Linked DNA regions of Coturnix japonica. The protein of the gene in region 3 binds, or shares a complex with, the protein of the main gene of each other region. Links are inferred from orthologs where the notes say so. Each region holds a gene or a part of one and is shown on either strand. Other genes may lie near its edges.

Evidence for each region. The genes of interacting proteins can lie anywhere in the genome.
Region 1: PHF20 (region 3) and KANSL1 share a complex: the UniProt entries of both Homo sapiens proteins name them as parts of the NSL complex. The link is inferred for Coturnix japonica from reciprocal best matches to the Homo sapiens genes PHF20 and KANSL1.
Region 2: PHF20 (region 3) and KANSL3 share a complex: the UniProt entries of both Homo sapiens proteins name them as parts of the NSL complex. The link is inferred for Coturnix japonica from reciprocal best matches to the Homo sapiens genes PHF20 and KANSL3.

Annotation. Positions count from the first base shown.
Region 1 is NC_029542.1:2,356,868-2,360,737, reverse strand, and holds part of KANSL1 (KAT8 regulatory NSL complex subunit 1), read right to left. Parts: intron 3,008-3,870; coding exon 2,812-3,007; intron 1,305-2,811; coding exon 1,139-1,304; intron 1-1,138. UniProt on the Homo sapiens protein: Non-catalytic component of the NSL histone acetyltransferase complex, a multiprotein complex that mediates histone H4 acetylation at 'Lys-5'- and 'Lys-8' (H4K5ac and H4K8ac) at transcription start sites and promotes transcription initiation.
Region 2 is NC_029537.1:1,133,233-1,136,188, reverse strand, and holds the end of KANSL3 (KAT8 regulatory NSL complex subunit 3), read right to left. Parts: intron 1,248-2,956; coding exon 712-1,247; 3' UTR 566-711; downstream 1-565. UniProt on the Homo sapiens protein: Non-catalytic component of the NSL histone acetyltransferase complex, a multiprotein complex that mediates histone H4 acetylation at 'Lys-5'- and 'Lys-8' (H4K5ac and H4K8ac) at transcription start sites and promotes transcription initiation.
Region 3 is NC_029535.1:781,330-785,199, forward strand, and holds part of PHF20 (PHD finger protein 20), read right to left. Parts: intron 3,636-3,870; coding exon 3,440-3,635; intron 1,740-3,439; coding exon 1,340-1,739; intron 1-1,339. UniProt on the Homo sapiens protein: Methyllysine-binding protein, component of the MOF histone acetyltransferase protein complex.

The DNA.
Region 1 (3,870 bases), on a different chromosome or scaffold from region 3:
CAAAGGGGAGGGAGGGCTCAGAGAGGGCCCTGAGGGGAAAACAGCCTCCGCTCTTTGCTCATCTCCTGCCTCTTCCTGGAAATACATTCCACCGTCAGCAGCTGACACATCTGGGGAAGGATGGGCCAGGCTGAAAGGAGGCAGAAACACAAAGACAAAAGGCAAACAAACTGTGCTGCCCTTGTGATGGTCACAGCCACGGTGCAGAGCATCCAAGGACCGGCAGATGGCAACCGCGCCGAGCTCAGCACGGCTCACATCCTTCCACCAAGGTTATTACATCATCCCCAAACTCCCAGCTACAAATCACACCGAGCAGAAAAAGGAGAAGAGAGAAGGGACAGAGAACTTCAGAAGATGTTAAAGCTCCGCCGTGCACTCCACGCTGCTGCACCAAGTCTGTGCAGAGCTGGATTTACATCTGTGAGCACAAGGCTTTGACCCGACCCAAGCACGAGCAGCAGAACATCACCTTCCCCCCAGGAGCCATCCCCTTCCACTGGGAGACCTCTGCCCTGGCCTGCTGACAGCTCAGCTCTCCTGCAAGAGTGCCCACTCAGATCATCTGCACCTCGCTGTGGTCAGAGGGAAACGATGATGGGTGGAGAGCAGTACATGCAGCCAATAGGTTTTAGTCAGAGCAGCAGCAGCCTAATGGGAACGTCCCTTCCTCCTGTACCCTCTGACCCACTCGAGATCGTGGACAACTCCATACAAGGTCAAAGAAACATCCTGCAGCTTCCACCAATCCACAAGTGGTTTCATGCAGGTAAATAAGCTCTGCTGAGGTCTGTGACCACCAGTCACCATGCTCTGATGTTTGGATGGTGATGGAGTTGGATGCAAGGATCCTTATGGTCCCGTCCAACTCAGATTATGCTATTTATGACACCAGCACAGGACCCAGCACAGACTCTCAGGCCCCAGCCAACACTCTCTCTTCTGCTGCAGCAAATGCTCAGCTCCTAAAAGCACGTGCAGATGAAGAGCATGGTTTTAATTGCATCCATCACACCAGCACCTCCTCAGGGTGAAGGCTGCACAGCTCCTCAAGCCCCAGACACTCCCTGGTGTCCCATGTCAGCACCCAGCCCGACCCCCCAACCCCCTCCCCACAGCCCTGCTTTGCTGTGCTCACCATCAGGGAAGGACAGAACGGGATGGATGCAGGAGTCCAGCTGCGAGAGGCGCTCCAGCAGCGGCGCATCGTACTGCATCTCCAGCGCCGCGGAGCTGCGGGCACCACACAGAGCACACGAGGGGTTCACATCACAGCTGCACCGTGCCAGGCTGTTCCGGTGGACCTGGAGAAGGCCACAGAGAAGTTCAGCATCCCACAGGGCTCTCTTTGCATGCTGCCCTTTGATAGATCATCAAATAAACCCTGATCTTATAACACCCTGCAGCAAACCTGTTGATTCAGTCTGGACCTTACATCAACACAGCCGAGAACGACTGCTTGCCTGCACACAGCATCCCCTAGACTTGATTAAAAGTGTTTATCTGGGTTGAAAACCTCATTTACAAAACCATGAGACAGCACAATTCTGTTGTCAGGGAGGAAAAACACCTTCTAGTTCAGACAAGACAGGGAACCACCAGCCAAGAGCTGACACCTACAGCGAGTGAGAAGGTTTTCAGTCTTGGTCTCTAAACCAGGAGGGACTTTCAGTTCACAGACTTTATATAAACCTCCTCTGTATAAAAAACCATCGTGGTGCAGATGCACAACTGGATGTAAAACAGGCAGAGCCAGCAACCGATGAACCCCCCACTGAAATGGAAGGATCCATCGAATCAGATCCTGTGAAGTCTGTTGAGTCTGGTATTATTCAGATAATTTCCACTAATGACTCGAATGATGGAAGAGATAATATCCTTAAGCCTTAGCAAATAACAGTACAACTGGGAAGGGCTGCAAGCAGCTTGGAGGAGAGAGCTGGAATGAGAGAAGTGATGGAAAATGAACCAAATCCTGCTCAATGAGGGTAAAAGCACAGAAATACCCCCAGCGAACTGATTATTCCCACTTTTCAGCCAACTCAGCTGGCCCAGAATCTGTTTTGCTCAGCAGAATGTTTCTTTCTGAGCTCCTTTAAACCCTATCCCCCACAGAGCGAGAAACCCTGAAACTTTGTGGTAATTAAGTTTGACTTGAAACACTTGTGACTCAAACACAACTAAGTGGATTTGTGCCATCCATAGTTCTGCAATCCTAAGAAAAAAACAAAACCCCGTCCTTATTCTATTTCGAAGCATCTGTTCTCCAACTGACAGCTCGTGGCACTCCTGAAGGAAGTTAAGAAGGATGGAGCATGGTTTGTCCTCACATAGGATGCTCAGGGAATAAACAGAGCTGAATTCTGCATGTGGGAAAGGGACGGTGGGGAGGAGCAGAAAATAATGTATTAATAATGGGTCTGTGTTAATTCCTGTATTCAGTATCTGTGTTTCCCATACCTGCTTCACTCAGCTGCTCCCATTTTAGCAGGCTGAACCCCCTGTCCTGAAGCTTACCTTAGGATGGGTGGGTTATGAAAAGAACCCTCCCCTCTGTCAGAATCCAGTACTGATGACAGCTAACAGAAACCTGCAGCAAACCAAAAGCTTCTTCATTTCTCCTTTACTTCTCCCACAGCCCCTGGGCTGCTCTTCCTCCCCTCTCTGTAACCACAAACACTCCCAAAGAGCGGAGATGTCTTTGTGCAAAGCAGAGCAGACCAACCCATGGGGTGTGGGAGCTCCTTTGGTGCACAGCTGGTGCTACGTAGAGCAGAAAAAGAGAGTAAAGCACAAAGGAGCAGCACTCACCTTTTTGGACAGGGGCATAATGCTGCTGGGTCGAACCAGCCGTCGCTTCTTGCAGCTCAGCACCGGGCGCGTGCGGGCGGCCACACACGTCCCATCTGAAGCTGAAGAGACCACATTCAGCCGCTGCTTTTTATGCAAGAGCTCCTCAGCTTCCTGGCCATCTCCCTGAGCGTGTTCTGCCAGGCCAGGCTGAAGACTGGAGAGAACAACAAGGAGCAGAGCGTTATTCCTCTATCACTCACAGACACGGTCACACTTAAAGAGACATAAACTTCTGATCAACACTTGGGAACCATCCCTCCAATAGCCCTCAGCAACAAGTGCAATGTTCACCTTCCTGTTCCACACACCAAAGAGGTTCCTGCCCACATGCAGCATCCTTGCCCTGCTGTGGCACTGATGCATGATGCCACCTACTAAACACCAGCAGAGCTCCGCACCCACACAGCCTTTCCATGCCTATTTTATGAGTGTTTCACATCTAAAAATGCAAAACGTTCGAGCCCTGTGGCCTGATGCCCCATAGCTGACAGGCTGCAGGCACACAGAGGGCTGTACCACGGCCTGCAGTGCTCCAGCTGTAGCCATGAGCAGGTCCATGGGTATTTCTATGTGCTCACATTGCAGCATCCTGCCCAAGGTGTTTCTGCAGCCACTGCCAGAACCTCCACAAGCAGCACAAGGTTCAAACCCTGACACCATCCTCCAGCACTGGAGAACTGCTTTTGCTAGTTTGCATTCCTGCCCTTTTGAGACCTTCTTAGCAAAAGCAACCTGAAGAAACAACGCAGACAGAACCTCATTTCTGATGGAATCAATGGGAGTTGGGGTCCTCTCTATCTCCACGAATGCAGGCCAATGGTCTGCAGATCCTGCTGCAGAATAACTGCAAGCAGGCCTCTCATCTCTGGATCACACCATTTGCATTAAAAATACCCATCAAGAAACAGTTCTGAACACGCTCGCTGCCTGCAGGGCCTGCCCATGTAAACACAGCTCGGTTTCATTCCATTTTCAGGAAAACAATGCTGCATAAAACCTCAAGCAGGAGATCTCCTC
Region 2 (2,956 bases), on a different chromosome or scaffold from region 3:
AACAGCAAATCACAGCTCTCAGCTCCAGCCTGTGAAAGCAACCCCAGTGACAGACCTGGTCCTGAGCCCTGGAACACACGGATCCTGGAAAACTACCTTTAATGCTGCCAACGTCAGCTTTATCTCATCCCCTTGGGACTCCATTTGGGGGCTGCTTCCCCCATTTCAGGCTGGTTGTTGACGACACTTTATGCTCTGTGATACACAACTATAAAGGTTAAATCCTGCTCTGCACCCTCAGAGCTTTATCAACAAGTTCAAATCTTCTCAGAAGCAGAAAACCAAAGGGATGTTCCAATGGAACAGCTTCTCTCATTGCTGCTCCCAGGACCCACAGCGCAATGTTGCTTTGTCTGTCCGTGCACTCAAGGCGAGAGAAATCAGACCAACAAAGCTGGGCTCATTCAAACACTCAGAGCATCTAAGAAACCCAATTCAAACACTCAGAGCATCTAAGAAACCCAATTCAAACACTCAGAGCATCTAAGAAGCCCCCAGTGCAGCTGCTGAAAGAGCAGCTTTTAGGAGAGCCAGGTATGATGAAGCCAGTGAATATATTTATATATATATATATATATAAAAGATTTATTAAACAGCTCAACAAAACCAGAAAACACCCCCTCAGTTTGCTAGAGCCCAAATCAGCCCCATCAGCACAGGGCTGCCCTCCCCCCTCCCACCCCACAGCCATGCTGAGGGTCCCCCAGGTCCCTATGGCTTCTGGCCCAGCGCAGGCCCTGCTGTAGTGATGACAGAGGAGCTGCTCAGCGTTAGGAGGGCAGCCCCAGTCCCTCCTGGCAGCAAGTGTCTGTTTGTCAGGGTCTCTCTGGCATGGAGGAGGGTGCTTCCATCATCCACCACAGAGGGGACCCTCCCCAAGGTCTCCATCGCCCCCAACGTGTGGCTGAGGGTTGAGGTGCTCCTGGTCAGACTGACCTTGTCCCCAATGGACCCGTCGGCTTTCATGGTGGCCAGTGTTGAGGTGAGGATGACGGCTTTGGAAGCAGGCTGCAGGATGGGTCCCACTTTGGAGTGCACCAGGCTGCTGGGAGGACTGGGAGCGCCAGCCAACGGGGGGGAGGCAAAGGTGACGGGGCCAGCAGGAGAGCTGGCAGAGGAGGAGGAAGGTTGGATGCCTGGCAGTTTGAGGGGGACTGAGGTAGCCTCATCCATCACAGACTTGGTCAGAGCAGACAGCTTGGCATCTGACATGACGTACAGGGTCTTCATGGGGCTGGCTGTGGTCACTGCAGAGAAGGGAAGGACATGGTCAGCAGTCATGGGGGCAGGGGGCCCACCCTGGGCTGCAGCCCTGGGAGCAAAGTGGAAGGGCTTCAGGCTGTACTTTTGGAAACCCCTCTGCCCCATTTTGCCTTCAGAGTGACTGCAAAACAAACTCCAGCACTGTCATGGGCTGGGCAGAGCATGGCAAGGGGACCCCAAACCTGCCAGCTCCCTTTGTAGACCCCTCAGATCAGTCCAGGAATCCTCTCCCCAGGATGGTCCCTTCCCACAGGGCCAGGACTCTGGTCTCTTCCTTGCCACGTAATCTCCATCCCACTCTCCAGGCTCTCACACAGCTCAGGCATCCCCAGCTCTGTCCCACCAGCAGTGAAGGCTTCTGCAGGTGCTCAGATGCTCGTCACGCTCCACCCCAACAGCAGCAAGAAGCCATCAGTGAAGCCCTTTGTGCTCTAAGGCAACAGCAGAGTTTGCATGTGATGGCTCCTTCATCTAAGCCTGCTCCTCCAGGAACCACAGCCCATGGGAAGGAGACTTTACTGAAACCCAATCACCAGGGTTAGATGTGCTCAATACACTGGGAAAGGCTTGTAGACCTGCTGCTGATTCAAGATCCTAACCTGGAACAGCCCATGGTTCACCCCAGCTGGTAACATCAGGTTACCATCAGGGGTGAGAGTCACCAGCAGCACAGAGCCAACCTCTCCAAAAGAGAACACCAGGCTCAAAGACAGAGAACACAGAGCAAAGGCTGAGGAGCAGCCAACTAACAGAGCTGGGACATCCCACCATCCCTGAGGGGACAGAGAGGCCAGAACAGCAGGAACAGGAGACTGAGCACTCCAAACAGGGCGAGGAAGCAGCACAGTGAGATGGAGATGCTGGCAGGCATCTGAAACAACCATGAAACAGAGCTTGGAGAAAACACATCAACACCCCAGTTCATGCTGCTGCTCTATAGCAGCTTCACTACAAACTGGTCCACCCGCTGAACGAAGAGCCAACCTCAACCTCCAGAAGTTACCCACTTATCACAAGTAGCAAGGACACAGAAAACAAAACACAGGAGAAGAATTAAACCCAGCACTTCTGTGACTCCCTGCTGAGTCCTGGGGGAAAAACAGCAGGGAGTCGTGGGGGGGTCAGCGCTGATTAGAGTTACAGCTGGGTCTGATGCCTGCAAGGAAAGCCAGCAGCACAGTGAAGGATCCCACACATCAACACCACCCGGAGCTGCTGTGTTTGCCCTCTGGGAAGCTGGCACAGCTTCTTCATTCCACCAGATCTGGTTTGTGTCCCACAGACCTGCTCATCTTCCCAACAGAGCAGCAAAGCAGCTGGGCAGAGGGAAACGGAAGCACAGGGTTGGCAGGAGGGGGCTCTTTTGTACAGGATTCTATTTCATTTGTAAGTCTGAGGCTGTGAGCTGCTGGGTAGTGGCTCTGCAATATTTATTTAGGTGTAATTGGATGGTTCTGCTCTCCCTAAGGAAGGGAAATAAGTGCAGGCAGCAGGGAGAGCGCTGTCAGCATGTGGTGGGGGTCCTAAAGACACCAATAATCCCTTTGGGCTGACACTTTACACTCCACTCTTTGGCTCAAGGCAGCAGCTGACAAACCAGAACGCCGTGTACTTGTGTGTAGAAGCCACGAGGGACCTCACTTAAAGGAGAAAGGAAAAAGAATCATAAAAAGTCAACAGCCTTAAAAATGAT
Region 3 (3,870 bases):
GTCACTATTTGTAACAGTGGGGTAGAATTGGTCAGGCAGGCTGTTGGGGCAGTGTTGTCCCCACAGTGCCCCGAGCTAATGGCTTCACAGATTTTAGGCAACAGAGAGACACAGAAAACGGAGTGTAGAAAATGTAAAGGCAGTTTGGGCAAAAGCAGATCACAACAGACCCTCACAGCTGTGAGGTCTTAGCAGACCTCCCTGTACCTTCTTCTCCAGCACCTTATTCTGGGAAGGTAACACTGAGCTGTATCTGACACCCACAGATACAGATAACTTCCTGCTGGAAGACACTGCACTAAATCTGTGTGTCCAGGAGAACACCACAAATTCCTTTAAACAACAGAACCCAAGCAAAGAGCAAGCTGTGCTACAGCAAGGAGGGGCTCTTCCTGAAGGAATCTATTCCCAATTCTCCTGTAACTTCCATCAAAGCACCCAGACAACTTATCAAACCTGACTGCACTGTGGCAGCTGTGCTTTCTTCCATCATTTTTCTGAAATGTGACAGGATTTAGAGAAAGACTCCTAAGAGATCAAAACACTGAAACACATCTTTGTGGGAAACAAAAAGCCATCCCAATGGATTTGGCAGAGAAATGAGGAAGAACACGATTTACATGTTCTTTGGAAATAAAATAAAAGCTAAACTGAATTCCCATCCAAGAAACAGGGAGGTCAGTCAGTACTTCCCCCGAGGCCTTCCATTTGTCAGACCATACTTCGTGACCTGACAGCACCTAAGAGAAGCCAATCTGCACACTGCAATGTAGAGAGGCCTCTGATACAAGCTTGCTGGACCTGATGGAGCTGGAACTGAGAACTGATCGTTAGAAGCAGAAAACTGGAGTGCGTCAGTGGGAAAAGAACTGAACTATTTAGCAATGACTATACCTAACCATCACTTCAGGTTACTTATCTACATGTTGCCTGAAGAATGTGGAATCAATTTAATGTTGCTATTTAACAAATGCGAGAAAAGCTGGCAATACCAAAAGCTGCAATAGCAGTATTTGAGAGTATCACATGTGCTTGCCCTGCTCTCTCCCTAGCATTTGTCTGTACTGTCTAAAGCAGGCAAGCAAGGAGCAACAACGCACTGGCAGAGCACAGTGCATGGAGAGTACAGATGATTTAAAACCCAGAAGTTGACTATTGGGATGAAATGGTGGAGATGTTCACATCTATTACTTAAATGTGCACCAGCAACCTAAATTCAGCATCACGACAGGAAAAAAAATAAATACATAAATTAAATGCCATTACAGGGGCTAATGAGTTCTGCACTTTGCCAGACAAACGCATTCTCTCTGCAGAGAGTTTATTTTAATATAAATACCTTGGAGTAATTGTGTTTGGATTCATTTTCCATTTTACATATCTCTCGATCCAGATTCCACCCGAGCCTCTCCGACAGGACGTCATCCCCGTTCTCCCTTATTCTATTTACACCCTCATCCATGGCTGAGCTTCTCGTTTCCACCACCAACCTCTGCTCGATAGCAGGGTAGTAGGCCCGAGGTTTCTGGTAACAGTGTTCACTCGTGATGTAAGATTCCTCCACAGAAGGAATGGCTGAGGGTTTCTCAGCTGTCCCGTTCCAAGTTCTATAACTCGTCGTCTCCTCTTTGCAACAGTTTTCTTCAATGTGAATGATGTGTTTTGTATGGATTTTTTCATCCACTGTAATGTGTTTCCATGGATGGCACCAGAGCTTTAGGTCAGGATGTTCTTTATTTCTGTTCAAACATAAAAGAAGTCAGTCATCCACCAAATTTAAGCTTAAAATGACCGTAGGCTGTACTACCATGTAAAGAAACCAAGCAAGAACATTTTCAATACTACATACTTTGGTCATCAGTATCACCAAACACACACAAACACGTTGAAATATTTCCCCTGAACCCAACATGCAGCATCCTACAGTGCTCTATCAGGTTCATTACTTTCACTTCTCTAACATGAACCAAGTGTTGGCACAAAGGAAAAGATGAAGAATAAGCTTCAAAAATGTGAATATAAAACTTCACCAATGTTGCCCTCAAAGGCTGAGATTTGTCTTCTTATCTGTAATTTGACAACAGCATTAACCCATTTTCACAGGGACGGTTTTAATTGTATTTTAAACAGGTAGGTTAAGTATGCTGGAATTACAATATATCCACTAACAAGGTGTATTCCCACACCAGCAAAGCAAGCTGACCCCCCCAGTCGCTCACTTAAAGATTTTTGTCTGCAGTTTCCCCAGATAACCTTCAGAATTCAATCCACTGATTTTGTCCAACCCTCTAATGACAACAATGGCAGCCTTGGGGTGGGTGTAGTAGTGCTTCATTAGTTCCTTCACATCTAGCTTCCCTTTAAAGCCCCTTGGGATTACTGGGAGAGCTTGAGCACTATTCATTCCAGCAGCAGGGACAACTGTAACTATTAGATTATTACATACTATAGCAAACAACATTTGTTTGTTGTCACACCCTTGGTGAGGTATCCTGAATGCACCTGAATGCTCTGGTGCTCTCTCACCAGAACTTTCTGCTCCAGCTCCAGACATTCTACACCTAAAGGTGCTCCCTGTGGAGCAAAGCAGCAAGGGATCCTTTGCACAAGATGGAACATATTTACGTTCCAGTCACCTGAGACAAAGGTACTTCCAGATCTGACTTAAGGACACCTCAGCAGAAAAGCAAGGCATCACCTTACAAGTGGCACCTTCTTAATTTCCAAACACTGCCAGTGGCATTACTGCAACACCACAGATTAAACTTAAGGAAAAAAAACAAAAAAAAACCAAAGAACTGGAAACACTCTAAGCTTTGTTTTCTAAATAGCTGCTGTTGAGCAAATTATCAATGAATAAATCATGAACTGTATTCAATCAATTAGAAAATGCTAGATGTGGATTAGGAAAAAAACCTTCAGTCAGAACCAAGGGTGACTTCAAACAGAAAACTATTGATTTCTACAAGGACTAGGAACAACGTTGGTGCTGTGTTTTGTTTTGTTCTTAGCATACTATGTTTGCACAAAACTGATACACTGCAGGTTGCTGAAGGTCCAACCACTCTTCCTCTACAGGGCAACAAATTACGCTAAAAGAAGAGACATGATTTTGACTCAAAAATTACTGGATAGAGAAAGTAAGTGCTATAAGAACATTGCCATGGTTATGCACCATGCTCCATTTGCTACTGCTCTATTTCACTGCTTTAGGAAAAGCTGCTGTTAGTTTTTTCTTCTTATTTTCCCAGCTCTTCTTCACACTGTCAGTTTACACTCCCCACCACACTTATCCAAGACAACATTAGCAATTCAAACTACGGTGGCGTACATCTGCAGAGAAACATAAAAAGTCAGTCTGAATTTCTTGTTATTTTTCTACTAGTTGAAATCTAATTCACGTTGAGAACACGTCAACTGATACTTAAACACTGCTTACTTCAGTATGCTCATCTTCAGCTGCAGTCCATGCAGTACTTCTATCACTCTCTGTACATCGCCAAGAAGCTGGTGAGTGGCTACTATCTTCTTGGCATTCTGGTGGGAGTAATTTTCTTCCAAGAACGCTAAGCCATGCATGTGGCCATTACTCAGCCACTCCTTCTCATACCAGTACTTTAAGCTGGACCTCTGACCTAGAGCAACAGTAATGAGTGTGTTAAAATGCAGCATTAACTACAGCACGTTAACATTACTGGTGGTAACTATGATCACCCGTCTTGCGCAGTGTACTATCTCTTATAAGTAGCACCAACAACCATCTTATGACAGCAGGCAAAACTTTGGAGATGTAAGAATCTGTAAGCGGGAAGTGAAATGGTACCCTGGTCAAGAAAATCTTGGCCCAGCTGTAAAAGCCAGGGGCATTCA